Alligator mississippiensis: one gene and its partners. The protein of the gene in region 4 binds, or shares a complex with, the protein of the main gene of each other region. Links are inferred from orthologs where the notes say so. Each region holds a gene or a part of one and is shown on either strand. Other genes may lie near its edges. The genes, in order: TIMM22, TIMM10B, TIMM10 and TIMM29.

Region 1 (7,179 bases), on a different chromosome or scaffold from region 4:
AATATCATGCAGTGGGGTGGCAGGACTGAGCCACTGCTTCTTCGCAGTGCGAGGAGCAACCAACCTGCATCTCATTTATCAGACTGAGGATTTCTTTGCTTTTTCACTGCATCTTTCCCTACGGCACTTTCCCTCCTACGCCAGCTTCTCTCCAGATTAGCACAGGTCTCCTGAAAGAGACCGCGGGCTTCTATAGCAACAGTTTACCTCCCTGGGAGGTGACAGCCGAGACTTGATGGAGATCTTTTTTAGCATTTGAGTTATGACACAAGGGCTTTAAAAAATGCCAGCCCATAGCAGAAAGCACTGCTGTGTCTGATACCAGAGGCCAGGAGAAATTAAGTGGCTGTAGCTGGGGTGGCAGAACCACCCTATCTAAGAGACAGTCTCCCTTTTAAAAGAGGATGTATGAAGTACCTGTGTGCTGGGAAACTAGTGTGTGTTAGAGAGAGAAAACCCCAAGCCCTGCTCCTTCACTTCATCAACCCCTCACCCAGACCTAGCCCGAGCCTTGGCTTGCACTTGGTAAAAAGTGCACATGTGGCTCAGAAACTTGAGCAGCTCTACTAAATTAAAGCATATTGCACCGTGCAATTTGCTGTCTCTTGGGCTCTCCAGCCCCTTGTAAACAGTAATTAAACTGACAATGTAAGGGAGAGCTAGGGAAGTACCATCGCCCCTAGTTTAAAGATGAGTAAAGAGAGGAAGGAGAGGAGAGTCACACTGCCAAGGTCAGCGAGCAAGTCAGAACAGGGAACAAAACTTAGGAGTCCCAACTCCTAATTTCCACTGCTGTCCATCTACTGTGAGTAGAAAGAACGGTTTGGAAAAGGTTCTGAGTTACTACAAGAGGTGGGACAGGGGCTCCGATGGGAAGACAAACTGCAAATCTGGCTTCATGTGCCAAGGACTCTGCAGAGATGCTTTGCAAACCGCCGTACAACCTGCCACCACTGCTTTCTCTTTGCACGGGGCACTCTCTCTTCCAGACGAGGTGCAAGCCCACACTAGCGCTGCAGGGAATGGAGACCAGCCGTGGCCTCTGCAGACATCCAGACCTACACATGCAAGGTAAGCAATGCTGGCGAGATGGACGGTTCCTCAGCAAACAGCCTAGTAGCATCCGCCACTGCAAGCTGCCGGGTGCTGTGCATCCTGCCCCAGCTCCCGGACCCACATTATCAGGTCAGAGTCTCAGCATTCACATGAAGCTGGAAAACACGACCCCTCAAAACTCAACCAGCAGAAGGCAGATAAAAAGGGCTACTTCTAAAAGCTGATGCTTGTTGAGGCAATTGCGCCACTCAAGAGGTCTACCATGGTCTTGCGTATTTGTGGCGTGCAATACCACGCAGAGGTATGTGAGCAGGGGGCACACTTTGGCTCAGCCAGGTTTGCACCTCTTGAGAAAGAGGCAGTGGCGGCTTAACGAGTCACAGGTAGCTACGAAAACAGCCCCATATGCAGAAGTGCTTGTAGCTCAACCGTCCACAGTCCCAGAAGATTATAAAGCTGGCAGCACTGCTGCTCAGAACATTTCTGGTGTCTGTCTCCAGGGGAGCACAAGAGTGGGAGTGAGAGTGAAAAGAATGAGAGAACCAGATTCTTTCCGTCTCCATCTGCAACCACTTCCCTCCCAGTTAGATCACTTCAGCAACAATGCTGGGATTCGGATGACTGCTCACTGACCAAAGATGAGTCCTGTGAAGACCTTCACTGCAGCAATACCCAAAACAACCCCCCGAGACTATGCAGAAGAGGGAGTCAGCTTCCAGTTGAGGAGCAAAGTATGCATCTGAACCAGGCTTCCCAGCAGCAGTATTATTTCTGCATTTTATATCCCCCCGGCACTGCCCTATGTTTCTATATTCTGCAGTGAAAGGTTGAATGTCATTGCTAAATCTGCCATGAGCGACTGGTGCCTCCTGAATCTGGGGGGGCACCTGCAGAAGCCACCGACCCTGTCAAGGGGGGCATCAGCCCTACCGACAGCATCAGTGTCGGCTGTCAGGAGGGGCACCGTCCCTGTCAAGGGGGGCACGTGCACCCCCGTGTCCCCCCTACCAGTCGCCTATGAATGTGCCAATCCAAGCCTGTTCTCACCTAAGAGCTCCTGTGGTTTGCCCTCTAATGGACCGGAGCAGAGAGCTCACGAAGACCTGTAACAATCAGCACGTGCCCGCTTGGGAATATAAAGTAAGGACTGACCTTTATGGGCTATCACAAGCATTAGCAGGAAACGAGACAAAGTGCATTTGGGACTACTCAAATCAGGAGCATACAGCACAAAAAGACAACAGAGGCTGGGACGAGATAGCAAGCAAGAAGGGTCTTTGCTTCTAGAGAAGTTTGGAGCGGGCAACTCGACAAGTGCAGGGTTACATTTATTCCAAGTTTGCAAGAGCTTTCAGTGCTCTGGTGGCCTCAACCCTGCAAGCGATACATGGGTGTCTGAGTTTGCTCACAGAACAGTCCATTGAAGTTGATGGGATGACTCGCGTATTTAAGCATGTGCTGAAATGCTTGGAGGGGCAGGCCCTTGGTCTGCATACAGGAAACAGATCTGCAGGCAAAGGATGAGGAGAAAGACATCCTGACGTTCATACTGAAAATAAATCAGTACGGTGGGGAAAACAGCAGAAAACTATCAGCGCATACTCTCCTGGGGGTGGGGGAGCATGTCTGATATTATCACAGATTTAGCCAACAATGTGTTCGGGGTATTAAAAATCGATCCTGAAACGCCCACCTCTGCTACCTGAACGAGAAGAGACGCTCAGTCGCACGCACCATCGAGGAGCCCCAAGTCCTTCACCGGGCATTAACAACGCAACCCAGCACACACAAACACATGTCAGTTCAGCATATTCCCCAACAGTGGCGGGGAAAACCTCCAAAACACTACTCCAGCTGCACAGCCGAGCTCTCGGTGCCCAAATCCCAACCCCAGCACATCGCAGGAAATAGCTGGGCTTTGCAATGTGGCTCGAAGGCCAGCCAACGCGCACTGTTTAGGATCAAAGGGAAGAGCGAACTTCAGCGCTCCCTATGGACAGCATGCTGCTAGCGGGTCCTTCTCGTTAACGTAACGAGGCTGCTGTGCTAGGACTTCACATCTCTCTGCAGCCTAGCAGCTGCTGAAGCGCTTTGGTGACGGAGGGAAAAGCCCGGAGCCTCCAGCAGAGGGCAGGTCAACTCCACCAGGACCCTCGCCGGGCTTCACGTGTGAACGTTTGAAGGCACCAGCCACCAGACCCATTTACCACGTCAAACCTGGCGTCACCGGCTTCTCCAGCTCGACACGCGTGTTACGAAGCACCCCGACGGTCACGCCAAAGGGTCAATGACTCCGAAGGACCTAGTGCCCTCGGGCAGCCAGGACCCCCGGGCTACGTGGCACCAGGCCGACCCCGTCGCTGTCCGCAGACGAAGCGTTTCAGCAATGTTGGGAGGTGCTGGGTAAAACTGACGCGCTGCATCAAAGCATCGTGTCAGTATCTTCGCAGTCGCTCCCCATCTTCTCCTCCAGGCCAAGCCCCCGAACCAAGACTTTTCTTATTCCAGTAGAAATCGATGCAGGGCAAAGGGTCAATATACCGGCAGCAGAAGCAGGGGTGCAGCGGGGCTCAACCCCCTGCTTCCCCAGCAGTGTCCGAGCACCGGAGAACCAGAAAGCCGACGCGACCCAGCCTGGCTGCCCCCGAGCGGGGACGCGCAGCCCGGGCCCCCAAGGGCACCGCTAGCCGGGGGGTCTCCACGCTGGCAGGGACCGCGGGGCCGTGTAGTCTGACCGCCCGACATCACCTACGCTCAGCGCAAGATGAGCCGCAGCCCCAAGCCTGCCGCAGGCCCGCCGCCCACGGCCCCGGGCAGACAGCCAGCGCCGGGCGCCTCTCGGCCCAGCGCCCCTCCGCGTGCGCCCGGGGCGGGGGCAGCCATGGGGGCCCGGCTCCCACCCCAGCGCCCCCACCCCGCGCACTGCTGGTCTCCCCGCCCGCTGCAGCGCGCTGGCGCCATGGCTGCGCCTGGTAGGGGGGCACGCCGGGGCCTGCCATGCTGACCTCTGCACCAGCCCCCGGGCACCCCTCAGCACCTGTGCTCTACCATGCACCCCTCACACCCCTCAGGCACCCCCCAGCCCCATGCACCCCACAGGCACCTCACAACCCCATGCACCCCTCACACCTCCCATGCCACCCTCATGCACCCCACAGCCCCATGCACCCCACAGGCACCTCACAACCCCATGCACCCCTCACACCTCCCATGCCACCCTCATGCACCTCACAGCCCCATGCACCCCTCAGGCACCTCACAACCCCATGCACCCCTCACACCTCCCATGCCACCCTCATGCACCCTGCAGCCCCATGCACCTTTCAGCACCTGTGCACCCCTCATGCACCCCTCAGGCACCTCATAACCCCATGCACCCCCCAGGCACCCCTCATGCCACCCTCATGCACCCCACCCCACCCCGCTCACCTGCCGCCTGGGCTCTCGGACGCTCCCCGGCGACAAGGACCCGACCCCCCGCACCGCCGCTCCCGGCCGCCAGGGGCCGCTAGGGGCCGGCGCCGCGGGGCTCCATGGCAGATGTAGTCCGCCCCCCCTCAGCGCGCCCGGACTACACTTCCCAGGAGCCCCCACGCGGGCGGGGCCGCGGGGCAGGCCGGGAGGCGGCCCGCGCCGGCCAATGGGGGGCGGTGCCGGGTGCGGGCGCACGGCCCATCATGGCGGCGGCGGCGGGCGGCGCGTCGCGGCCCGAGGGGCCCGAGGCGGAGCCGCTGCAGTACAGCGCCGTGCTGCAGTACCTGGTGGGCGAGCGCCGCGCCCCCCGCGCCCTGCCCGCCGCGCCCCCCGCCGACTCCCGCCTGGCCGAGCGCCTCGCCGAGAGCTGCGGCTTCAAGGGCGCGCTGGCCTGCGTCGGAGGTGCCCCTCCCCCTCCCCCGGCTCCCAGGGGTGGGGGTGCCCCGGGGGGGGGTGCCGCGGGCGGGGCGGGGCGGGGCGGTGTGTCTGACGGTGGCGCGCTGCGGCAGGGCTGGTGCTGGGCGGCGCGTTCGGCGTGTTCACGGCCGGCATCGACACCAACGTGGGCTTCGACCCCAAGGACCCGCTGCGCACGCCCACGGCGCGGGAGGTGCTGCGCGACATGGGGCAGCGCGGCGTCTCCTACGCCAAGAACTTCGCCATCGTGGGCGCCGTCTTCTCCTGCACCGAGTGCCTCGTCGAGTCGGTGAGTGCCGCGCGGGGCGCCAGCGCCGCCGCCCGTAACGCCTCGCCCGTAACGCCGCGCGTCTCTCGCCCCGCAGTACCGCGGCAAGTCCGACTGGAAGAACAGCGTCGCGAGCGGCTGCATCACGGGAGGAGCCATCGGCTTTCGAGGTGGGTCGGGGACGGGCCCGCGTCGGCAGGGAGACACGGGGAAAGGCTGGAAGCGGCCGTCGGACGCGGGCCCCTCGGCTCGCTTGCAGCCCCTGGGGGCCGTCGCGCGTAGAAAAGCTGGTGTTTTCTCCCCTCTTTAAAAGAGACCCGCCCAAAAATCGGTGCGGGAAGCGCTCCCCTAATTATGTTCGTTATCCACATCTGAGACAGGATAACGCTCCTTTCTCCGGACCCGGCCAAACGCGTCTGCGGCCCTTCGGGAGCGGAGAGCCCACGCGTGGCCGCGTCCATTCCTCGCGCGAGTCACGAGTGCGACACGGGCTGCGCGGGGAGTGTCACTGAACGGGGTCTCTTCTTGCTTTGCAGCTGGTTTGAAAGCAGGGGCCCTCGGCTGCGGAGGCTTTGCCGCTTTCTCTGCGGTGATCGATTACTACCTGCGGTAACGGCGGTGCCCAGCTGCAGCGGGGCCACCAGGCTTGTCCGCCAGAGCAAGCCGGATGGTGCCTGCTGCGTGTCCTACGCAGCTGACGATCGGCCGGCCCGTAGCACAACTTCTGGCACAACAGCTGGAGCCTCCTGGAGCAGGGCCCGGCTCAGCGGTCAGTATCCTCCGAATGAATTGGCCGACTGTGTCCGTTTCCAGGAACGGAGCCCGCTTTCCCTCTGCCTTCCAGGCCCTCTGGGGTCTGACTGCTATCAAACGCATCGCCTCCTTGGAAAGATCCCTGCAGGCACTCCCTGGATACGGAGACTCGGCTGACCCATCTCGTGACTTGCTGCAGATGTTTAACGGTACCTGGTTTGCAGCCACGGCTCTGCTGGGAAGCAGCGCGGTATCGTGGGGGAGAACGCGTGGGCTCCAGCTGACGGCCGATGCCTGGCTGCGTAGGTCATCTTGTTTCGGGGACCTGGGAGCTGGGCGTCCCTGGGTTCAGCAAGTCCTCGTGCTGTTTAACGACTGGTCGCACTGAAATAAAAGCTTAATGGAGAGAAGGCCTCGTTCTGCAGTAGGCTGATGTCTGACCTGAATTAACCCTGGCAGCTGCACAGTCAATAACTGTTGGCCGGCAGGGCGGGGAGGCCCCTGTAATGACGCCCTGCCAGGGAACAGCAGCGCGGCGGGTGGTTAGTGGCTCAGCCGGTCCCGTGACAGCACAGCGCTGCTCCCACCCACCAAGGAGATGCAGCACTTCCTGCAAGAGAGACTGTGGGGAGGGGGCTGGAGCCTGCCGGGCAGCCTGCGCCACCAGTCCAGGCTCTGGTACGGCAGGTGCAGCTAGGAAGTGCGGGGGCCCTGACTGCAAGAGGCCCGTCTGCTGCGCCTGAGGGTGCCTCTGCGACACCGAGCTCCGGCACCAAGCACAGCACAGCGATGGCAGTGTGGGCTGCAAACTCAGCCAATTAAGCTGAGGGGACACGTGGGCGGCTGGTTCTTGCCACGCCGTGCCCTGGCGGCAGTGGCATGAGCTGGGTAGGCGCATCCACATGCCCTGCAGCTGCTCTTTTGTGGCTCTGCAGCCCCAGCTAAGCCTGCCTGCAGGAAGGGGCATGGGAAAGGGGCCCTTTGCAGCTCGCTGCGACGGGCGGTGGCAGCAAGCTCTTCATCCGTGTGCAGCAGGTTGTGATGCTGCCCTGCCCAGCCACGGGGCTGGAGCTGCACAGCAACACACCAGTGCACAAACTGCTTCCACAGCTCAAGCCCGCGTGGCCCCAAAGTGCTGCCCTGCAAGAACAAGCGGGACTGGCCCAGGGGCCGCTTTACCTGTCTGCCTTGACGGAGAGGCATCTCGCTCT
Region 2 (7,123 bases), on a different chromosome or scaffold from region 4:
CGGCTCACCCGGGCACCTCGGTGAGCAGCAGCATGAAGAGCTCGGGCTCCGAGAGCTGTCCACGGCTGCCGCAGAAGGCCGCCAGCTTCCGGGCCTGTGGGCACAGCGGGGGTTAGCCCGGCGGGGAACTGGGGACCGGACCCCCTCCCCTCGTGCCCCTGCGGCCCCATCACCTCCTCAGCGTCTGGCAGCATCTTGCGGAGCTCCAGCAACTTTTCGGCGCCATACAGTGCGCCCGCCCCGTCCCGCAGGTCAGCCACGATCTGCCGCAGCGGCCTGGTGTTGTGGGGCACAGGGGTGTGGGGTCAGCCGGGAGCCCCCCTGCCCCGGGACCCCCCCAGCCCGGCCGGACCCACTCGCCTCTTGAGCTGCTTCAGGAATATGCCCAGGTTCAGGATCTTCTTGGCATCCAGCAGCGAGACCTGGGAACGCAGACGGGGCACTGCAGCCACCGCTCGCGGCACCCCGGCCGGCCCGGCTCAACTCGGCCCAGCCCGGCCCCGCGCTCACCTGTCCGGGGGGGCGGCCGAGGGGGGACAGGCCGCGGGGGGCGGCCGGCGGCTCCGCGAACAGCTCCTCCAGGTGCCGCCGGTCCAGCGGGACGGGGATGGGGTCGGGGTCGGCCCCGGCCCCCCACACCGTGCGGCGCCCCCGCACCTGCGCCTCGCCCAGCGCCGCCCAGTGCAGCTGCCGCAGCCGCAGCCGGGCCCGCGACGGGGCGGGCGCGGGGCTGCCGGGGGGCAGCGGCGGCGGGGCGGGCGGGGGTGGCACCGGGGCCCGGGGCGGCGGGGGCGCCATGGGCACGAGCAGCAGCACCCAGCCCTGCGGGGGCACCCCGCGTGCAGCGCGCGGCCGGAGAAGCCCCGCGCGGGGGCGGGGGCGGGAACCGCGCGCACCTGCCGGGGCCGTCCAGCTGCGCGGGCAGCGGGCTCCAGCGGTTAGAGCAGCGGGCGGGCCCCTCCCCGCACCCAGGGGCACGAATGGGCGCAGGGCAGGGGGTGGTTGCGGGAGGGGGGACCCCGGCAGGTGCAGCACCCCAGTCCTACAAGCAGTCGGCACCCCGCGGCCTCCCCTGCAAGCCCGGGGGGTGTGCGGGCCTGGCCCCGAGGCCTGGGAAAGCCTGGATAGGCCTGATCCTGCCCCAGGTTGCACTGCAAGCACCCCGGCGTGGAGCAGAGGTCCCCTCCCCGTCAGGAGACCCCAGCCCCGTCCGGGGAGCGATGCGGCTCCAGGGGTGGCTGTGGTGTCTGCAGCACCAGAGCTGCCCCCATGCTGTTCCCTGTGGCAGGGCAGCCAAGGCTGCCCCCATGCATCTGGATGCAGGTGTTTGGGGCCGCTCCCCAGCCAGCCCCCTCTGTCACCTCGTCCTCCCAGCCCCAGGCACGAGCAGGCGCAGAGCGACGTTGTACCGTACTGTTTATTCTGGAAGTTACAGGGGGCCGGGGGCGGTCAGACCGACATAAGGGGGTCAGGTGGAGGCATTAATTTAGCAACGAAAATGAACCGTTTCTTTCCTAGTGTCACAGGAGAAAGTGCCCGTGTTAGGGGGCTGCGCCTGCCTCAGCTGGAGGTGCCACCGTGCGGAGGTGAGGCAATTTGGGTACAGGGGACCCATCCGAACCCTCCCCCCGGGATGCCGGCCACATGCACGCACAGGCGCATACATGCACACGCTCCAGGCCCAGGCGCAGCCGCTGTTTGGTCCTTGGGGTGGGTCTGCCCCCCCCAAATAGCTTGTCGCCAGCCTGAGGCCTCGTGGGATCAGGCCCAACAACCTCGGTTTGGATCTGCTGGTGGGGGGGAACTCCAGCCCCCATGATTAGTGTTCAGGCCCCTGTCCCCCCCCCACCCCGGGGTCTAGCTTGGCGCAGCTGGGAGCAGGGGAGCAGGAGTGTAGTGTGTGTCCCAGAGGTGGGGGGCAGCGTTTAGGAATGGAGTGCAAGAACTACCCCTCACCCCTCTGGCACCGGAGCCAAAGCCAAGGGCAAAACCCAGGAGGCCAGGACCCCAGCCCCAGCCCAACCTGCGAGGGAACCCAGGTGTCCAGGGCAGTGTCAGCAGCCCTCGCCCCAGCGGGACAGGGCAGGGTTTCTGCACAGGTCGGGCACCGGTGGGGAAGGTCAGCGGGGCTCCATGCCCAGCAGGGAGGGGCAGGGACTGCCGTGGGGCTGGCAGGAGGGGGCGAGGCAGGATCCCACGTCTGGCAGGGGAGCAGTGCTGGCCAGGGCAGCTGCCCCGAGGGGCCCAGGCCCTTGCTCACCCCGGAGCTGGGGCCCAGGCAGGGGCAAGTCAGACCTGGCCACGTCCCCCATGTTCACCACCACGCCCAGCCTGCCTGGCCTGGGGCCAGAGGTCAGAGTTCAGGTCCATGGCGGCCCGGCCGGCAGGCGGGTGCTCACTGCTCCTCCAGCCACGAGGGCTTCTCCGCTCCCGGGGTCTTGAGCTTGATGTTGAACTGCTTGAGGCTCTGCGCCAGCTGCTGCTGGTTGCCAGCGAAGTAGGCGGAGATGGCGTTGTGGAAAAGCAGCAGCTGCTTGTGCATCACCTTGATCTGGGGGCGAGGGGGGCAGGGGTCAGCCCCACAGCCCCCCCACAGCCGCCTAGCGCAGGGTCGAGGGCCTGGCCCCTGATCTGGGCAGATCAGCGCTGCCCGGCCACCTCTGGGCTATTCCTGAGCTGACCGGGAGAAACCCCTGCCTGCCCCCAGTGCAGCGTGGCAAGGCCCTGCAGGGCTGGTCCTGGCAGAAGCATCGACACAGTCCAGTCCCCATCCGTAGCCTGGGCTGCATCAGCACCCATTGCTGCTGAGGAAGGGGAGAAAACCCCTGACCCCAGGAGCAAGAGGTGGAAACAATTCCCACCCAACCCCACGGGGCAGCAGCAAAGCCCGGAGGTTGGGAAACACCCGCTGCCTCCGCTCTACACCCTGGGGCCAGCCAGTAGGACCCGCACCACCCCACACTGCACAGCCCGAGCGCCCAGCTGTGTCCCCCCACGGGTGCGTCTCCTGCCACGATCCGGCCGGGTGCAGCTCTGCCTCCTCCTGCCCCTGCTCTGGGCACAGGGTCCTTGGGAGGTCCAAGGGCGCTCAGGGTGGGGGCTGCTCTGGGGCGTCCCGCTGCCTCTTTTCACCGCACGCTCCAGGCGTCGCTGCAGCTCAATGCCCCCTTCCCAGCGCCTGTGCAGTCTGTGCTGGGACCCCCCCCACCGAAGACCATCCCCACCCTAGGCGCGTCCCACACCTCGCTGATGCCAGGGAGGTCTCTCCTGCCGTCCCACCTACCCTTGCACACGGCATCCAGGCTCCGCCACACCCAACGCCCAGCTATTGCCGTGTCCCGTGGCCACCCCCCAGCGCTGCCCCTAGCCCAGCTCCGGGGGCTGTGAACAGACCCTCCCACCCCCTGCCAGACCTTGTTCTCCTCCAGGAACTTGAGCTTGATGGCCACGTCCGCACGCAGCTTCTCGTACTTGTCCTTGTGGCTCTGGAATTGGCTCTGGGCGACATCCAGGCGGCAGAGCGTGCTGGCGTCCCGCGGGCCCAGGCTCAGCTCCTCCAGGTCCGTGCGGTACGCGTCATACTCCAGTCTGCCGATAGGGGCGAGACCGGGGTCAGAGAGAGCGTCCCCACCTGCCCAAGCCCCAGCACCCTCCATGCCCTAGCATCCCAGCCCTCCTACCCCTGCGCCCCTCACCTGACATCTGCACCCCACACCCCTCCCTTGGCCTCCATCTCTCTCCAAGCCCAAAACCTGGCTCCCACACCTGGCAGTCTCGTACTGCTTGACGGTCATGAGCGTGTCCTCCATGGTCTTGTTGACCAGGGTGTTGATGCTGGAGACAAAGAAGTTGACGGCGCCGAGCAGCGTCTCCCCGTTCTTGCACAGCAGCTTCTGCGTCTCCGCGTTGTACCCGAACTCCTCCTGCGGGCACAGCGCAGGGTCAGGCCGACGCCGCCCAGCCGCCACCATGCACCAGCCATCACCCGTGCTGCGGGAACGGGAGCGGGGCCCGGAGACCGCGGACCCCGGGCTCCACCACGTACCTGGAGCTCGGGAGACTTCTGGCTGAGGTCGGAGAAGGCGTCGCCCAGGGCGTGCTGGGTCTGCACCAGGCTGTAGAAGTGGCTGGTGAGGGCGCGCGCCAGCTGCAGCACGCACTCGTACTTGCGCTTGGTCTCCCGCAGCAGCTCGATCTGCGTCTCCAGCTCCAGGTCCACGGTGCGCGACCCGCGCCCGAACCGCTCCGAGATCAGCTGCTTCGTGCACTGCGGGTGCGGGGGGCGTCAGCACTGCCGCACAGGCGCCCCCCCCCCGCCCCGCGGCCACCCCAGGGGGGGGACCCACCTTGTACGTGTTGATGCCCCACTTCTTAACGATGTCGAACTTCTCCACGGCGATGCCCCTGACGACCTCCTCGCCCGCGGCGGCGGGGCCCGGGTGAGGCGGGTGCAGGCCGGCGCCTGCAAGGCGGCGGGCGGGGGGGTGAGCGGGGGCAGGACCGGGGCGGGGGGGGTGGCGAGGTCCGGGGCGGGGGGCGGAGGGGGCCGGTACCTGCGGACGCGCCGGCCTGGCTGGCGATGGAGTCGCTGGGCGACACGGAGGGTGGCGGGGGCCAGCGAGGCCGTGCGGGACGGCCTGGAAGGGGGGGCCAGGCCGGGGGGGCGAGCGCGGGGTGAAGAGGGGGACGCGAGAGCGTGGCTGACGGGGGTCCCCGGGGCAGCTCGACCCCCACCCCCCGGCGCCCGCGGGCCCCCACCTTTGCCGGCGCCCGTGGGGATGATGCCCTCGGCCGTGCCGCCGTAGCCGCCGGACACGATGCTGGTCTCGTTGAGGTTGGGCCCCGACACCATCACCTGCTGCAGGTCCTGGGGGGGGGGGGGGGGGGTGCGGTGAGCGCCACCGCGGCAGTGCCCCTCCCGGCCCACTCCTCCCCTCCCCTCCCCCCGCACCTGCTCGAGCCCGTCGTCCTCGGCCAGGCCGCCCGCGTCGCCGTTGCCGTGGATCGGGATCTCCATGGTGGCCGCCTTGCCCAGCAGCGCGTCCGTCATCCTGGGGCTGGGGGGGGCGGGGGGGTGCGTCCGGCCGGCCCCAATCCTGGCCCCGCGCCCGCGGCCACGTCCCCGGCCCCGCCCCCACGCCCCGCCGGCCCCGCCCCCTGCGCACCTGTCCCCACCCCCACCCGGGCCCGCTCCCGCTCCCGCTGCCGCTCCGCACCTGCTCCGGCGCCGCCGGGTGCCCCCGGGAGGCCCCGATCCCCGCTCGGCTCCGGCGCCCCCCCCCGCACAGCGGAATAGACGTCAGAGCCCGGGCAGGGGGCGCCGGGAGGCGGACAGAAGTGACGACATACTGAAGCCAGCGCGCGGGCGGAAGGGAGTCCCCCCCTGACGCGGACGAAGGGCGGAAGTAGGGGCGGAGTTGGCGTCAGAGCGAGGGCGGAAGTGGCGGCGCGCGGGCATGGAGCCGTCGGCGGAGCAGCAGCAGCTCCGCAGTGTCAGTGCCGGGGGTGGAGGGGGGACAGGATGGGGCGGGTAAGGGAGGCGGGAGCCGTTGGTCCGACCCTTGCTCCGTTGCAGCTGCGGGATTTCCTGCTGCTCTACAACCGCATGACCGAGCTGTGCTTCGCGCGCTGCGTGGCCGACATGGACTGCCGGCCGCTCACCCACCCCGAGGTGAGTGCGGGCGCACGGCCCCGCCCCCGCCCCGCTGGCCCCGCCCCCTCGCGCTGACCCCGCCCCCTCTCCTGCCCGCAGGACTCGTGCGTGGAGCGCTGCGCGGTCAAGCTGGTGCGCGCCAACCACAGCCTGATGCGCGCCTACGTGCGGCTCATGCCCGCCCTCGTGCAGCGCCGCGCCGCCGACCTCGAGGCCGCCGCCGGGATCGACACCGGGACCGGGACCGACACCAACGTGTTGCAGCGGGCGCCGCAATAAACCGTCCCCCTTCCCCCCACTCCCCCGAGTCGGCTGCGGGCGTGTGGGCGGGGCCTCGACGGGGCGGGGCTCGCGCTGGCCCCGCCCCCTCCCGCGCCGCCGCTAACGGCCCCGCATCCGCCCGCATGGAGCCGCCCGACGGGGCGGGCAGCCCGGGGCCGTCGCGGTGAGCCCCCCACCCCCGCCCCGGAGGGTCCTGGGGGTCCCTGTGTCCAGCTCCTGCGCGGGGCGCCCGCGCTCACAGCCGCGCTGCCCTGCAGGCCCCGGCCGGGCTCCCCCCGCGCCGCGCCGCCCCGCACGGGCGTGCAGACCGCCGAGGCGATGGTGCGGGACAAGCCCCTGGGCAGGACGGAGGTCGCCTACCTCAACGTCGCCGCTGGCCGCCACTACCGGTAACGGGCGGGGCTGGGTCACGGCTCCCGGGGGCTGCACCCCCCCCCCAACGGCTCCCCGGGGTGACGGGCACGACGCCGCCCTCGCCGGGGCGCCCCCTCCTAGCCGTGCTGTCGCCCGCAGGCCGTACAGCCTGGCCGCGGTGCCCAAGGCGAGGGCGGCCCCGCAGCACTACGTCTTCTCGCCCTTCGGCGTGCTGCACGTGCAGCCGGGGCAGGGGGCCGAGGCGCTGGCGCTGGGCGCGTGGCACCGGGAGGCCGTGCTCTGGGGCTTGCTGCGCGGCATCCCCGTCTTCCGCCGCTGCCTGCTGCGCGCCGCCTTTGCCCGGTGAGTGTCGGGGCCGGGGCAGGGCACGGCATGGCGGGGTGCAAGCCGGGCCTTGCCCCATGCTCTCGTCTCTTCATCCGGCAGCTGGCAGCGCGGCACCCGGTGCCTGCGGATGCAGCAGCGCCAGGCGGTCCTGGGCGCCCGCCTGCTCCAGGCCGTGCCCCACTTCGGCGCTGCCCTGCTCCATATCTCCAGGTGCGCGCGCCGGGGCTCCGGATCCGTCTGCAAAGCGCCCTTCTGCCGTGCAGGCCGCGTGGGGCCGGGGTCTGCCCCCCTGCCCGGGGCAGCTGGGGGGAGCACGGTCTTGCTGCAGGGCCTCGCCTGAGCGGGAGGGGATGATGCGGGGGCTGGGGTTTGGCAGGGGGCTGGGTGTCCCCCATGGCAGGCGGGGTGGGTCCCCCCACTTGAAGCCTTATCTGCTCACCCACCCACCCGTGCAGGCTGCTGCAGGAGCTGCGGTCCGTGCATTGG
Region 3 (8,639 bases), on a different chromosome or scaffold from region 4:
TAGAGACTGCAGCGTCAATTAAATGCTGTGATGTTTATTGGACTCGCATTCACACAGGGGGCTGTCCAAAATGTTCATCTTGTGAAGTGTTGTTCTGAAGCATATATATCCAGATCTCAGTCTGTTCAGCTTGACCCATGCTCCTCTGCCAAGGTTGTGCCCAATGGGGGACTTATTTAGTGTTGGTATAAAACACTGTAGAAATAGGTCTGACCTTTTCTAATGGTTGGTCCACTGTTGCTGCCCATAAGTTTAGTTCAGCACCCCCAGAACAGCTGTACAGCCTGGACAGCTCCAGCATATGCTCATGCGGAGATGGCCAAGGACCAGGGCAAGGAGATGCACCTTCTAGGTAAGGAGGAGGTGGAGCACTGAAGTAACCACTCACATGCCCATTTGAGAATCCCATCTTGCAGTGATATTTTGCACAGGGAGCAGGGAGCAGAGAGGTGTGAGATAGGACTCCACCAGTCTGCCACAACCCACTAGGACTGCAATGTGCAGAGCAGGGGTTTGCAAAGCTGGAAAAAAATAGTATTTGATGTCAACAGCTCATTAATCTGTGCTTTGTCTACATTAGGGGAGACTCCCAAAAAAGCCCCATGCAAAAATGGCTCCTTGCCACAGTCTTGCCAGAAGGATGGGGGACAGTAGAAGACAAACTCCCTGCCTTGTGGCAACCACAGGAACAGGCTAAAGGAGGTGCTCTCAGGGAGAGGTTCACACCAGCGACTGGCTAAGCCAGGGCCTGATTCCAGGGATACGTAACCATGGAGAGAACAGTGAAGGAGAACCCATATCCCCCACAATCACGCTACCCCAGGCCAGCATCTCAATGTGAAGAGACAAAGCACAGTGATCAACAAGGCTTTGTGGAAACCTTGGCCCTGGGCAATCCAGGAGGAGCAGTGTGAAAGCCACACAGAGAAGATTTTGGGGAAGGAAATGAAGAACTCCATGCTTCTCAGGGTGTATAAATGCCTTAGTGTTCTTAGTAACTTGGTGGGGTGCATACAGCGGGTCAGCAATGGAAAGGGAGGCTCTGCTGCATACTTTGTCTTACAGGGCAAATATATACTCATCTGCTATAACTTGGTAAGTCTCATTGCTGGCCCAGGTATAGAGAGGAAGGACTGGCCATCAATAACCAATTGCTCTGTTTGGGTGACTTTCTCTTATGAAGATGAACACGCCCCAGAGAACAGCTGGCTAGAGGTGGCACCTTTGTTTGAAATATAGGGTCCTGGATTTGCTGTCCTAACACTGAAAAGAGAAGCAGACTGGCATGATACTAGCAGGTTTCCTGCACTTAACTTACTTGATGCCACTTACAGTCCAATCTATTTTTGGCTATGTAGATGGGCAGGAAAAATCAGTTGACAGCTGTACTGTAGTTTGTGTGTGACCAGGTATGTCATGATCATGTGCAGCATGACAAAATGTGCAATGATGACAGTTTTGGCTCTAGGTTCTGGGAGTGCACCCACATGTTCACCCAGAGAAGTTCTAATCTCCACAAGGTAGTCAACAACCTCAATGTTGTCACTTAAAACACCTGCTTCTTCTGGGTGTTGAGGGAGTGTCTTCTGGCCCCCCACTGTTTGATGTGGCTGGCCAGCTGGTGTCCACACATGATGTAGGGTATAAATATGTGAACAAGAAGCAAATCCTGTAACATTGTGGAGTTTGGCTATTCCCTCGTGGCCATACCTGAAGCAATGAAAGAGAAGCAGAAAGCCTGGCCTGAGAGTCTGAGATCATCATCCAGAGTTTGCCCAAAGAAGCATGAGCATTTCACCAGTGCTTACCTGAATGATGTGCAAATGGAGAATGTGGAATAAAAAAAATCTTTATGAGCTGCCCCAGCCCCCTCAGGGTACCTCCCCTTCACACAGGCCCCACATTCTCCAAAGAGGCACTTTCTTGGGACTTTTCTCTCCAGCTACAGGCCCTGTGGTATCCCACTGTGTCCAGTTTCTGCCTCTTGAAATACCTCCCAAACACCCTGGGCATAATTTTATCTTTAAAGGGTTTGTAATGAAGGGTGGTGAGTGTGAGAGGCCAATGCCTGAAGCATGGGGCTCTTGTACAGGAATGACCCAGGCTGTTTTGTATTGGCAGTGCTCTTCAATGGGTGCCAGGAGTTTGAAGACTGTTACTGTACTCTTTCATAAAACAGGTGATTTTGATGACCCAAGCAACCTGATGCCCGTCAGCCTTTCCTCAACCATCTGAAAATATCAGTTTCACTGCAGCCCAGATCACAGACTGGGCTATGAAGGAGGGAGGGCACCAATTTGAACCAAAAACTAGGGCTGCTATGAACACAACTCTTCAACCTCGCACTGGCTGAAGAGCAACATCAGCACAAGACAGCCTGTGTTTTTCCTTTGCAAGAGCCTCACACTCGGGGTACTGACTCTCTTATTCCCCTGCACAGAAAATGTACTACCTGTGTTAACCAGGCAGATAGAGAAGTGGTTTTGAAAACAGTTCCTACCTTCCTTAAACTGAAATTGAATCACATACAGTTTAACTGTTGTGACTGTGATGGTTTGCTGAGTTCATGTATTCACTTGGATTGGGAAGCTGCACTATTTTAAGGCACAAGTAACCCTGTGGTGCCCTGGCTGGTGCATTAGCTTCCTAGCAATTACCAGGCATTCAAAAGTTGTGGATTCAAGTCCCATCAGAGCTAATCAATTTGAAATACTACTACCATACCCAGAAAGGGACTATCCACATTCACACAAGACAGGCCCAGGGAGCTGTTAAATGGCGTGCCACAGACCTCCCCTCCTCTTCCCTCCACCAGGGGCAGACTCTCTGTGTAGCTGCCTGCATAAATCAGGGACAGGGGCAGCTGGGGCCCCCTCCAGCAGGGCTGGTGGGAACAGGGGGATGTGTGTCAGGAGGAGCACTGGCAGAGCTGGGGAGGCTGTGGCTTGTGGGGGATGGGAGACTGAGTCAGGAGTGCGGGGCACTGTCTGCACTAGGGGGATGTGGGGAGTGTGGGGCACCAGCAGGGATGGGGGGGAGCTGTGGGTGAGGAGGAAGGGGCACCAGCGTGGCCCAGAGGTCAGGGTGCTGTTGGAAGTGAAGGGCATTGGCAGGGCCAGGGGTCTGCAGGTCAGGAGTGAGGGGCAGCAGCAGGGACAGGGGGCTAAGGGTTGGGAGTGAGGGGTACCAGCATAGCCGAGGAATGGGGGACTGTGGGTTGGGAGCAAGAGGCACTGGTAGGGCAGGGGGAGGGTGGTGCTGTGGCTTATAGTTTTGTTTTACATTTAATTTCTGAGGCAATAACACTTGCTAGTTACTGTAACAGTTAGAAAGTGTCCCCCCCTCTCCACAATCATATACAGTTGTTCTCTTTTTTGGAACTGGAAATATTGTAACCCTACCTTTCCTTTCTAAACAGCCTGGGCATTTCATTATGCCACAGAACAACAGTGTTGAACCCTGTTTGTTCTCACTGGGAGCTCCTTGGGAGATGGTCTGGCACCCACCATGTACCTATAAAGACCTCGAGATGGGCGAGGCACACAGATCCTGTGCAGTGCCAACAATGAGAATACGAGGAGCATAATGAACGTTCTGGCCCATTTTGCAGGAAATCAGACCTAATTCCTATCCGTGTCCCTTTTGCCTTCAAAACTGATGGATACTTCAATTTTCTAGCCATTTTTTTCAGATGTGGCTGTCACTCTCCTCAACAGGGACTATTGGCATGAAGGGGGCAGGCCTGCAGGCTTTTAGCTGAAGGTAAAGTCCAGCCACCATCTGTCCAGTGAAGGAAAAGACCCACTTCCCTCCACATATCATAAACACTATAAAGCCTTTTCCTTAACCTTTCTCCAGTCACTCCTCCTTGAGCAGAGTCAAAGCTTGAGGAAGCCTGGAAACCTTTTGGGGACTGCTATGAGTGAGCACAGCAGGCTGCTAGGCAGCAACCTTGACCATAGAAAGCTTGGGCATTAGTCCTAAAGAGGACAACTGTATATGATTGTGGAGAGGGGAGGCACTTTGTAACTGTTACAGTAAATAACAAGTGTTATTGCCTCAGAAATTAAATGTAAAACAAAACTAAAAGCCACAGCACCTTCCCCCCCACCCTGCCAGTGCCCCTTGCTCCCAACCCACAGCCATGCTAAGCTAAACTGACTTCTTTGCTGTATTTGCAGACAGGCTGGCCGTGCTGCCGGCCGTAGCATAAGGGAAGTCTCTCGTTAGCTCCCTGACGTCCAAGTCATCGCTGTGCTTCTTCCATGGCCTGTGCGAGGGATCCACGACCCTTGTGATCCCGGGTCCCCCGGTCGTGCCAACTCCTGCCCCCAAAGTCACACAACTAGCTTGTCTGACTTAAACTCCAACCCCGACTCATCACCTAGCATCACGCTGAACCACATCGGAGCACCTGCCTCCCCTGCCAACACCCCCGTGCAGCTGGGGGCCGCCCTTGGACTGCAGCGGCCGCCACGTCTTGCACGAGGAGCAAGAGCGGCTCAGGGCAGGAAAGCGCCCCCTCGCCCCTGGGGACCCGCACGAGGAGAGATGCTGCACGTGGCGCCTCCAGGCTGCTCCGAGCAGGGGCCCTGCAGGAAATGCAGGCTCCCTCCCCGGTTGCTTTTGGGGCTGGGGAGCGCAGGGCGGGGACGGCTGTGTGCTCTCGCAGAGGACAATGCTTCCAGCTGTTCAGTGAAGCGGTCACATCCACGCCGAGGCCCAGACGGCTTGCAGCACGCACATCCCGCCAGCTCTCCCCGGCCCCCAGAGGCACGTCAACCCCAGCCCCCGCGTCCCCATGGCAACATGCCCCGCCCCACTCCCGGCTAGCCCTCCACGCCCCTGGAGTCCCACCCCCTGCCCGTGCCCGCTCCCGCTCCTGCTCCCTCCCAACCCCGCCCCCGCGCGTCTCTGTGGTTGGCAGGCCGGGCCTCCCGATCCCGCCCAATCGCTGCGCTGCCGGAAATGACGTTCTCCCCGCTCTTTGAGCCGGGGAGGGGGGTGCCTCCTTCCCGGAAGTGCTGGTGGCCCCACGTGGTTCCGGCTGGCAGGTGGGGTGGAGGTGGCCTCCTGCCCTCGCCCGGCCCCTGCGCACGGGCATGGGGCGGCCGAGGCGGGAGGGGAGCACGGTGCCAAGGCTGCTCCCCTGCTGGGGTCTGACCGCGCTCCGTGCAGAGGGTGCAGGGGCTGCCCCGTAGGGAGGCGCCGCCAGCTCCTCGGGGTCCCCGCGGCCTCGGGTGCGCTGGGGTCGTCGTTGACGCCGCCTCGGGTGTAGCTGGGCGCTGCCCGGGGCTGGGGCAGCACTGACAGTTTTTGTGCCTTTCCAGGAGATCCCGGCCCTGCCTCAGCTGCACGGGACGCGGAGCTTAGGCGATGGATCCTGTGCAGGCGCAGCGGCTGGCAGCGGAGCTGGAGGTGGAGATGATGGCTGACATGTACAACAGGTCATGACCCCGTCCAAAGACCCCTGCAGGGCTCTGGGCTTTACTCCGTGCTCCTAAGCGCCTGGGGGGAGGAAGAGAGAGGGAAATATCTGCCTGTGGGCTGTTGCAGGCCACAGGACTCCTACTTTCAAGTGCAGGAATATCTCATGTGTCCATTTCCTTGCTGGGGGGCCCCTGCAGGATGCATCACCAAAGCTGTGTGTATGTGAGCAGGTTCCTGGAGTTGAAATGTCAGAGAGCCTGTGAATGGATGGAAATACACTGGTCGAGCTATGTGGGGTGTATGGATCTGTGATGGCAAGGGGATGGGGCTGCGGAGTGTGAGCAAGGCTGTGTGCATATGGAAAGGAAAGCCTAGGATGCAGTAGCAGGGGAGGTGCAGTGGCCATTTAAGGTATCCACAGAGCGGGGCGGGGGAAGAACTAATGTCTGGAATGGTTGCTGTGCTGTGTGTGAAGGAGACTGGCCTGGTGAGCAGGGGCGTGTAGAGATTCTCATAATGTCTCCCTCCTTTGTACCCCAGGATGACCAATGCCTGCCACCGGAAGTGTGTCCCCCCCCACTACAAGGAGGCTGAGCTCTCCAAAGGGGAGTCTGTATGCCTGGACCGCTGTGTCTCCAAGTACCTGGACATTCATGAACGCATGGGCAAGAAATTGACAGAGCTCTCCATGCAAGATGAGGAGCTGATGAAGCGGATTCAGCAGGGGGCTGGGGCGGTTTAAGAATCCCTCTTCAGCTTTGGACAGCAAGTGTGATAGGCCCTGAGTGCACTGGACTGCCGCCTAGATTCAGCCCTGGGTCCCCTGTCAATAAAGCCTTGATAGTTTTGTATGAGCAGCACTGGGCCTCTGCCTTCCAACAAGGGGATCCTGTGCTGAGATTCGCTGTTTAGCTGTTTCCTGCTGAGTGGATGAGGTCCTATCTCTGCCCTTCCCAGATGATGCTCCTAGTGAGCAGCATTGTCCCAAATAGGGATGAGGTCCCAATCCTATCCTAGTGGTGTCTCTTTATTGACTAATGGAGCAAAGGCTTGATCCAGGGTAGTTTGTGATGAAGTGTCCTCTTGCAGGAGGTCGGGCTAGAACCCTCGTCCCAGCTCTTTTACCCCTTTGATAGCATGATGGATTGGCTGCAGGGGGCACTGCCTCCAGGTGGATGTATATTCCCTATGGTATTGTGCTCATCAAATCTCCATGGTACTCTCACAGAGCAGCATGCCCCTGTCAGATTTGAGTAATCCCCTCCTGGCTGCAGTTTGCCTTTCACTTTCAGCTCCAAACTCTGTGACAGAGCCTGTTCCTATTTTCTGTTGGGCAACCCTTGTCCTTTTCCCCCCTCCCCCCAGAGATGGCTGCATTTTTGTTCGGGGAGGCAAACTGCTGGCTGTAATCTGAAGAATTTCCTTGCAATCCTTGATGGCTGTAGCTGCTATGTGTGGCCAGCAGGGGGCATGCTGCTGCTGGGGAAAGCACATGGGAGTTTCACTTGGCTTTCAGTTCATGGCTTTAGTAAATATTTTTACAAGCCTGGCTCCTAATTGGTGTTTTCCTCCTTTCTCTCATCCCAGTTTCTGATTTGTGGTTAATTACACGGCAGCTCCATTTAGCCTGAGGGTGAAGCTTCTAATCCCAGTGACCTCCAGGGAGTGGCTAGGAGTTATTTTTACTGCATGCAATTCAGTCCTCTTGGGGCTCAGTCTGGTTTTCCTGGAAGATGCTGCATGATGATTTCCTCAGAATTCGCTGGCAGGAAAAACTATGTGTACAGCAGCTTTTGTTTGCACTGGGGACTATGCAGGCACCTGGGAGGGGGATTTTGAGGTTGGCTTGGGGGTACGGACAGCTATAGCAAGGCTGTAGCAGCAAGTGAGGGTAGGGGCTGTGTTGGAGGAGACTGAGAGGGGGTTGCATGAGGCTAGGGATAGCAAACAGCAGGGGGAAGGCCTTACTGGCCTGGCTTTGTCTAGCTCTAGCCTTTGATTGTTAGGGCGAGAGAGCCGAGAGGGAGCACAGCAGGGGTGGAATGGAAATAGGGATAGAAGTGTTTGGAGGTTAGAGAGACGGACATTGAAGACTATATGGACTAAGCTCCTTGGGGGTGGGGAGGAGCAGGACCCTCAAAGCCTAGTGGGAATTAATCCTCTAGGGGATAGGAGTTGATGTAAGGAGCATGATTTTTTGGCAGCTCCCCAAAAGGGCAGCCAAGTTTAGTGGGGAGGATGGGTCTGTGTGTGCCCCTTGGGTGAGGCTAAAGATTCCTAATTCCCAGTTCTTTAGTCTCAGTCTCTAGTTCCTTATTCCTGGTTCATGGCTGGTTTTTCAAAGCTAACTTTAAATAATTTAAAGTTGTAAAATTATACCACGTATCAAGTACATAGCCTTGAATAAGGAGATGAGATTAGGCTGGGATTATGAAGCAAAATCATTTTCAGGTCTTCCCAAACGACACATTTTCAGCTGTTTCTTCTGAATAAGTCTGAGCAGGGCACTGGCTGAACTGAAGTTTGGTTTTCACTGCTAGTCTGCCAACTGACAGCCCCTTGGGTATGTGTGTGGTGTACATTTCCCCAAATGAGCTTAATTTGGGTTGGGATTATGGGGCAAGATCCACTTTGGGTCACCACAAACCATACATCTCCATGCCCGGGGGGACTGTCCTGAAGAAATTTGGGTAGCTCCTCCTGACTTAAAGCTTGGTTTTTGCGTGCCAGCCTGCCAACTAATGGTTCCCTGGGCCATGTATTTACATGGTACTAAATAAGGAGGTGATTTTGGGCTGGGATTATGGATGAAAAGCCTTTTTGGGTCACTCCAAACCATATGTCTCTGCCACTGGAATATTCTCCTGAGGAAGCCTGGATAGGCCCTTGCTCAACCCAAAGCTTGGTTTTTGTGTGCTTCTCTCTTGACTATTGCCCCCCCCCCAGTTTTGTGCTATGTACATAGCACCAAATAAGGAGCTGATTTTGGACTGGCATTACAGGTCACCCCAAACCGCACCACTCAGTCATTGGGGGACTCTTCCCAAAAAAGCCTTTTCAGGTTGCATTTAATTCTTGGCTTTGTCCACCACAGATTTCTATATATGACATGAAATAAACTGATAGTATAAGAGTTGTGTTGTAGCTGTGATGACATTAAGTACATCAAAATAAAAATATATGCATACCTAGTTCTATATCAAATTACT
Region 4 (6,797 bases):
TCCCTGAGGAGCTGACAGAAGGCTCAGACTTGGGTTGGGGGCTACAATACAGCTGAGGCTCTATGCAGAGGATAGAAGGCAAACAAGACCAGCCCCCTTGGAAGTGATGCTGCTTGGGCCACCTCCACCCCAAACAGACGTTTTGGCTGATGTTGCCCCAGATGCCCTGGAGCCTCAAATACTCCCCAGTGACCAGGGGCTTTGGTTTCACCTCATTCCAACTATCACAGAGCTGCAAAAGTCACGTGGGCCCTAGCGGATTATCCACCCAAAAGCAAAGGCTTCCCTTTATGACTCACCTGCCCTGCCCCCCAAAACTGGGCTGGGCACTGGGGGCAGCAGCAGCAGCTCAGAAAGGAGCGTGCCTGTACATGCCACCTGTACCATTTTCAAGAGCACATGGGTCCCTGTTACCAGTCTCCCCTCTGAGCACTGGATCTGAACTCATCTAGAAGAGACAGAAGCCCTATGGAGCGACATTACCCTGGAACACCTCTAAGCCAGTGGTTCTCAACCTTCTTCAATTCAAGGCACACCTTGATAGAACCTTGGAAGAGGTCAGCTCTTAGCTTCCACTTGATTTTTCTTACACAAAAATCACGGAGCAGTTTTTCTGTTGCAGAAAACACAGAAAGATCTGAACAGGTCAGAACATTTTGCCACTCTGGATTAATACTTGAAACCTTTCTGCTTATCTTGTCAATCCTGTTTGCATGTCTAACAGCACTAACATTGTGTAGCACCTCTGAAAGGATCTTAAGATGCCCCAGAGTGGTGCAGGGTCCCAATCAAGAATCACTGCTCTAAGCACTGGGTTGGCATGGTACCCACAAGAGGCAAGGCAAGCCCATGGATAACGCATCCCATAGGTTAGTACAAAAATCACAGCAAACGTAAGAGCCTCCGCATCCTCTTTATTGAATGCCAGTGCCACCAAGGCTGGGAAATCAGCATGCAACAAGGCTGAGGGGTCCAACAAGAAACAATCCCATAGTAAAACCTATCTGAGCTTCCATATCCACCCTGGCTCAAGCAACCGCTGCTTGGTTCAGGTTACTGGTTTGTGACCCCCTGAGGCAGTGGCTGCATCTCCCTCTCTGCCTGCTCGATTTGTTCCTCTGTCAGGACAACAGGCTTGTATTTCTCGCCGAACAGTCTCTCATTAGTCTCCGAGTGGAGGTTCTGGAAGGAGATGATGCGGAGCTGCTCTGGAAGGTTCTGGAACTCCTCATCATTGATGTCAGAGTCCTTCATTTTGGCATTTAAAACCCACCAGCGCCCCCAGAACCCCACATCCAGGATGCGGCCTGGAAACTCTGTCCAGCGCGGCTGCAGGTGCTTGCACTGAGCCAAGTACAGGTCGGTCTCTGCGTCGAAAGGGGCCTCATACACCAGGGAAAAGAAGACCAGGCTCTGGTAGCGCAGCTGCCCCCAGTTCCTCAGCTGCATCAGGCGCTGAACGTGGCCCTTGGAGGTGGTGTTGCAGACCCAGGGGGAGAGGAGGAGCAGGGTGCCAGAGGCCTCGAGGAGGGAGGCATCGAAGGAGGTGTCGCTGGGGATGCGGAGGCTGCAGGCGGCTGCCCCGGCCAGCACCGAGAGGTAAAGCCCGGCTTTCCCGGGCCGTTGCCGGGCACCCACAACCACCTCCTTACAGGCTTCCACATAATCGTGCAGGAGGCTCTTCCACCACTGGCCTGCACAGGGGCAGCAAGGTCAGATGCTGCTGGCTATCAAGGGCCCAGCCCACCAAGGGGCGGCGGGTGCCCGCGCTGGGGAAGCCGACGCTCTGGGAGGGACCTGCAGCTACGCGCGGGGCCGGGATTAGAACCGAGAAGTCCGGGCTGCCAGGCCCTGCGCCAGCCCCTCCTCCCGTGGGAACCCGGGCCGCTGCCTCCCCCCCGGAAGAACCCAGGCGTCCGAGCTGCCAGGCCCTAGCCCCAGGAACCCAGGAGCCCTCCCCCTCCAACCTACCCAGGCGGCTAGCGCCGAGCCGCCCCCAGAAGCCGCGCCTGCCCCCCCGATCGAGTCCCGCGCCGCTCGTGGTGTCTGCTACCACCGCCATGGCGCCAACCGGAAACTGTTTCCGGCCGGAGGGGAAGTGGTGCCGGACCGGACGAAACCATCCCGGAGCTCGGGGGGGGGGGGGGCGGTTCCCCTTTCCTTTCCCCCCCCCCCCCCCCCGGGAGTGCGCGCGGCCAGGCCGGAGAAAGGGACACGCAGCACTGGAGCGGGGGGTGCCCGGCTTTGCCAGGACACGTCACTCCTCCCTGTCGTGCTCCCCTTGCACAGCAGGGCCCCGCCTCGGGGTGTCTCAGGAGCTCGCGCCTCAGTTTCCCCCACTCCCCCCCCCGGCCGTAACAAGCCTTCGTCTCCCCCAGGAGCCCGGGGTGCGCTGATGCTATGGCGGCCTCCGACCAGCTCCGCTTCCACGGTGAGCAGGCGGCCGCCCTCGGGGAGGTCCCGCCGGGCCGCGAGGGGACCGGACCCGGCTGCAGCAGGTGTTTTCCCTCCTCCCGCGAGGCCTTGGGGCTCTGGCGCCCCCAGAGCCCGGCCGGGCCCCGCGCCGCCCTCGGGCACTTACTGGGCGGTTGGCACGAAGCAGGGACGGACCCGCTGCCCTTGGCTTCCTGCCTCCTGGGACCGCGGGTACCCCCCGGCAAACCTCCCCCTGCCTCTGGCCGAGAGGCTCTGGCTGAGGGAGCCTGGCGTCTGCGGGGCATCTGCCAGTCCCTCATCCACGCGCGTATCCCAGCAGTTTTCCTGGGAAGGGGCACGGCGCTGGCTGGTGTGCTGTTCAGCACCCCCCCCTTCCCCCCCCCCCCCCGAGCACTTGCTAGCGGCCCTTGAGCCTGCTCCCTTCCTTGTTTTTTCTTTCGTTGCCCCAAATACTCTCGTTAGGTCTTCATAGGTTTGCCTAGTGGAGGGAGGTTTATAGCTCCCGGGTGAGCCAGGCCCACACTCCTCTGGGCATAACAAATAGGTCTGCCTAATGGAGACAGTGTGGTCTGGCAGTTAGAGCATAAAACTGGGACCTGGGTCCTTCTGGCCAAGATAGAAGTACCTTCTGTATCATCGTAACGAGGGTGATGAACTCCCCAGCTCCTTCAAGGCATGACACTGGGAGGGTGCAGGCTCAGGAGTGAGGGGCTGGACTAGGCAGTGGCCCCTGAGCCCTGGGCTGTGATGGCTGGCGCTTTACCCCTGCAGAATTTGATGAGGCCGCCGACCTGCTGGCTGCAACCCCCGATGCAACAACCACCAGTGTCAGTGAGCGGCAGAGCCATGTGGCCCTGGATGTGGGCTCCAGCTATGACGAGAACGAGGAGGGCGATGAGAGCGATAAGACAGAGGTCGGGGGCAAAGCTAGCGTGCATGGGCAGGAGGGTGGCAGGACTAGTCTGGAGGGGAGTGCTGGCTCCAGGTCGGGCCCAAGGTTGGCTGGGGCAGGGAGTGTGCACTAGTGGAATAAAGAGCCCTTCACTTCCCAGCCCTAGGTCCAGATCCAGCCTGGGCAGCTGTGCCTGGGCTGTTCCCAGCTGCTGCTAGCTGTGGAAGCCATCGGGGTCCAAGTAGATCAAGTATTTCTACCTCAGTTGTGGCTCTCTCTGGAGATGGGGCTCCTGCCTGGCATGCTGGGTAATCCCAGTTGCTTGGAGCAGCTGGGGTGGGGTGCACTGGTCTGGGAGGGAGCTGGGCTCACAGTTGGAGGTGCTTGGGGTTCTCTGTGGGTAAGGCTGGTGGGGCCGCGTGGTAACATACATTCCCTTCCTCGCAGCTGCTGAGCGGCCAGAAGCAGCCACCAAGTTTCTGGACCTTCGAGTACTACCAGGCCTTCTTTGATGTCGACACCTACCAGGTAATGGAGCCTGCGCCCTTGTGGGAAGGCAGCATTCTGACACAGGCAGTTAGAGATGCTGGCAGGAATGAGTCCCATAGATTCATGGGTTTCTCAGCTCCCAGAGGCTTTGTACATTATTAGGTATAGTATGGTAGCACCTGAGAGCCTCAGTCGCAGGCCAGAGCCCCATTGCACTAGGGACTGTACATTATGTATTATAATCATATTGGGAAGCCCCCACCTAGGACCAGGATGCAGCTTTGCTCTCTGGTTGCTGCCTGGTGAGCCCAGAAAGCTGCCTGCCTCACTCCACTCCTGCTTTCTTCACTGTAGGTGCTGGACAGGATCAAGGGATCGCTGCTTCCACTACCAGGGAAGAACTTTGTGCGGCATTATCTACGGAACAACCCTGACCTGTATGGTGAGCCCAGAGGGGGTCCATGATGTGGGGCAGGCCAGGGCAGTGCAGGCTGAGCCCTTTTGGCCTCCTGTGCCCCAGGGCTCAGGTGCCATCCGTCAACCAGAGCAAAGCAGGGCATCTTTGGTCTCTGGCTTCTGCCCCAGCCTGGGCTCAAGGTCGCACTACCCTTGGCCTCTTCCAGGGCCCTTCTGGATCTGCACTACGCTGGTGTTCACACTGGCCATCAGTGGCAACCTGTCCAACTTCCTGGAGAAGCATGGCAACACCTCCTTCCGCTACAGCCCCCAGTTCCACAAAGGTGAGGGGTAGGTATGGGACAGGCAGGCATGGGCCAGGCCCCATGAGAACCCACCAGGCTCCTGGGCAAACTTGACCCCTGCCAGGCACAAAGCTTTAAGTGAAAAGAACCTAGGAGTCTTGGCTCCCAGCCCCAAACCACAAGACCTCCTTCCTCTCCCAGTTGTGGGGGGAACCCAGGTGTCAAGGTCCTCGGTTCCCCCTGCTCTAACCCACCAGACCCGTCCCTTCCCACAGCTGGGAGAGAACCCAGGAGGCCTGGACCCCACCTCTTGGCATTTGAGTCTCAGCTTTGAGCTGATTCACTGTTGGCTGCTTTGCTGTCCTAGTGCCTGTAGCATGTACCGTGGGTGGTGGTTGTTGGGGGGGGGGGGGAACAACACAAAAGGCCCCCCCAGCTGGCTGGCTGGCCGGCCGGCCGCAGAGCACTGGGTGACAGGAGCCCATCCATTGGCAGTGACCATTGCAGGCGTTGCCATCTATTGCTATGCGGGGCTGGTGCCGCTGGCCCTGTGGGGCTACCTGCAGTGGCGCAAGGGTGTCTGCCTCAATGTGGCCTCCTACACCCTCCTGGAGACTGTGTGCGTCTATGGCTACTCCCTCTCAGTGTACATCCCTGCCTCGGTGAGTTTCCTGGGCCCCAAATCCTCCAAGGGGATAGGCTGAGTCTGGTCATGGAGCTGCCCTCTTGGGAAGCTGGTGGGGGTAGGGAACTCACCCCTGTCCCCTCTGCCATGGGCACCATGTCCTCTAACCCCTGGGCCCAGCTCAGCCATTTTAGCTAGTTGTCTTTGCTGAGACTGAATTTCCAGCCTGTTTGCTCCTGCCCTGCTATTTACCTCCAGACGTGGCGCCCTGCTCCCATCTGTGTTTACCTTCTGGGTGGTGGGTGCCCAGAGCTGCAGGCAGGGTCCCTGGTGCAGTGTAGACTCACAAGTATGAAGGCAGCTTAGATCCCCAGGGCTCCCTAGAGCCAGAATGTGCCATCCAGATCCTGGCCTGGACAACTCCTGCATCTCAGAACTGTGGGGCCCATGATCCTTGCTCATGCTTACCCCCTCCCTGTCCCGGTCTTGAGCAGGTGCTGTGGCTCATTCCAGTCTCCTGGCTGCAGTGGCTGCTGATCGCCACCGCTATGACACTCTCCGGGTCTGTGCTAGTTCTCACCTTCTGGCCACTCATCCGCTTAGACAGCCGGGCTGCCACATTGGCTGTACTGACCATTGTCCTCGCCCTCCACGCGCTACTGGCTGTAGGCTGCAAGGTACCCAAGGCCCAGCATCTTGTGGGGCAGAATAGGGGAGACCTATGCTTGGGCAGGGTCATGGCAGCTGTTGCTCAGTTTGGGTCTGGTGTTTGTTCTCTAGAGATCCGGGGGGGGGGGCACGTGCCTCAGATCTGGAACCAGGGACCTAAGCCAGGTCCCCCCACCCCCATTATGTGTACTTCTCGCTCAATTTCTTCTTGCAGCTCTACTTCTTCCAGAAGCCAGTATATGCTGTCCCTCTCCACTCTGCCTACACTAAGGCTCCAGGGGGGGCACAGCTACTTACAGCCTCTCACCCCCGCCTCAACAGCTCCATGACTACCCCCCTCCGTTTCTGAAGGATGGCAGGTGAGAGCTGGCCAGGGGGGCATGGGGCAGAACTGGTTCCCCCTGTGCCCTAGTTCCTGGCCAGAGAAGATGCCCCTAACTCTATCCCCACCACAGCCAGGGTTTCAAGCAGCAGCTGAGGCACCTGTTATGGGAACATGGGACAGACTCTGAGGAGCAGGACCCTGGGGCACGGTGGTCTCTATGCCAGGGCATGACAGGTGCAGCCCCCTGGAGACCCTGTACCAGCTTGGATTCACCCTTGTACTGCTGTTTCAGACTTTGGAGGACCAGCCTCTTCTCTTTGCCTCTAGGGCTGTGTGAAGCCATCAGCCAGCTCCCCAAACCAGTTCAGATGGATGCTCCATCACACCCGCTGTAGCTCCTTCGACACTGACCAGCCCTGTTGGTAACACATGGCAGCTGCCTGCTCTCAATCTCTCCTCCAGGCTAAAGCTCCACTCTGCTTGAGCCCAGCCCGTTCCCAGAAGTCCTGGTTATTCTCAGCAGCAAGGGTGACTACCCTTGGTCGCAGCATCCTTGTGGCACTGGGGGGGGCTGAAGTGGACTGTGCCTGCCATAGGGCATCCGTGGGAAGCAGGCAGCAGGTCTCAGGTTTCTCAGTGAACAATTTTTATATGCACAAG

Evidence for each region.
Region 1: TIMM29 (region 4) and TIMM22 share a complex: the UniProt entries of both Homo sapiens proteins name them as parts of the TIM22 complex. The link is inferred for Alligator mississippiensis from reciprocal best matches to the Homo sapiens genes TIMM29 and TIMM22.
Region 2: TIMM29 (region 4) and TIMM10B share a complex: the UniProt entries of both Homo sapiens proteins name them as parts of the TIM22 complex. The link is inferred for Alligator mississippiensis from reciprocal best matches to the Homo sapiens genes TIMM29 and TIMM10B.
Region 3: the proteins of TIMM29 (region 4) and TIMM10 are in contact, whole or in part, in a cryo-EM structure (PDB 7CGP), measured with the Homo sapiens proteins. The link is inferred for Alligator mississippiensis from reciprocal best matches to the Homo sapiens genes TIMM29 and TIMM10. Residues at the interface, in NP_612367.1 of Homo sapiens: Asp181, Asp183, Ile184, Asp186, Phe189, Leu192, Leu196, Arg197, Val199, Gln203, Leu204, Ser206, Asn209, Glu210, Leu212, Phe213, Asp214; in NP_036588.1 of Homo sapiens: His30, Arg31, Lys32, Cys33, Pro35, Pro36, Leu43, Ser44, Lys45, Gly46, Glu47, Ser48, Val49, Arg53.

Annotation. Positions count from the first base shown.
Region 1 is NC_081837.1:1,934,727-1,941,905, reverse strand, and holds TIMM22 (mitochondrial import inner membrane translocase subunit Tim22), read left to right. Parts: upstream 1-4,718; 5' UTR 4,719-4,733; coding exon 4,734-4,932; intron 4,933-5,039; coding exon 5,040-5,236; intron 5,237-5,312; coding exon 5,313-5,385; intron 5,386-5,751; coding exon 5,752-5,828; 3' UTR 5,829-6,378; downstream 6,379-7,179. UniProt on the Homo sapiens protein: Essential core component of the TIM22 complex, a complex that mediates the import and insertion of multi-pass transmembrane proteins into the mitochondrial inner membrane. In the TIM22 complex, it constitutes the voltage-activated and signal-gated channel.
Region 2 is NC_081824.1:483,428,274-483,435,396, forward strand, and holds TIMM10B (mitochondrial import inner membrane translocase subunit Tim10 B), read left to right. Parts: upstream 1-5,352; 5' UTR 5,353-5,456; coding exon 5,457-5,492; intron 5,493-5,575; coding exon 5,576-5,671; intron 5,672-5,752; coding exon 5,753-5,932; 3' UTR 5,933-5,951; downstream 5,952-7,123. Other genes in the region: FH2 domain-containing protein 1, read right to left, coding at 9-94, 174-276, 361-422, 511-798; ARFIP2 (arfaptin-2), read right to left, coding at 2,396-2,551, 3,414-3,588, 3,766-3,923, 4,046-4,267, 4,347-4,462, 4,759-4,867, 4,952-5,050; DNHD1 (dynein heavy chain domain-containing protein 1), read left to right, coding at 6,058-6,098, 6,193-6,324, 6,449-6,652, 6,737-6,847, 7,093-7,123. UniProt on the Homo sapiens protein: Component of the TIM22 complex, a complex that mediates the import and insertion of multi-pass transmembrane proteins into the mitochondrial inner membrane.
Region 3 is NC_081825.1:172,671,359-172,679,997, forward strand, and holds TIMM10 (mitochondrial import inner membrane translocase subunit Tim10), read left to right. Parts: upstream 1-4,975; 5' UTR 4,976-5,054; intron 5,055-5,330; 5' UTR 5,331-5,376; coding exon 5,377-5,447; intron 5,448-5,970; coding exon 5,971-6,172; 3' UTR 6,173-8,621; downstream 8,622-8,639.
Region 4 is NC_081831.1:23,573,716-23,580,512, forward strand, and holds TIMM29 (mitochondrial import inner membrane translocase subunit Tim29), read right to left. Parts: upstream 2,084-6,797; 5' UTR 2,063-2,083; coding exon 1,972-2,062; intron 1,695-1,971; coding exon 1,054-1,694; 3' UTR 895-1,053; downstream 1-894. Other genes in the region: protein YIPF2, read left to right, coding at 2,401-2,431, 3,208-3,350, 3,776-3,856, 4,172-4,259, 4,441-4,557, 5,014-5,180, 5,638-5,820, 6,027-6,161. UniProt on the Homo sapiens protein: Component of the TIM22 complex, a complex that mediates the import and insertion of multi-pass transmembrane proteins into the mitochondrial inner membrane.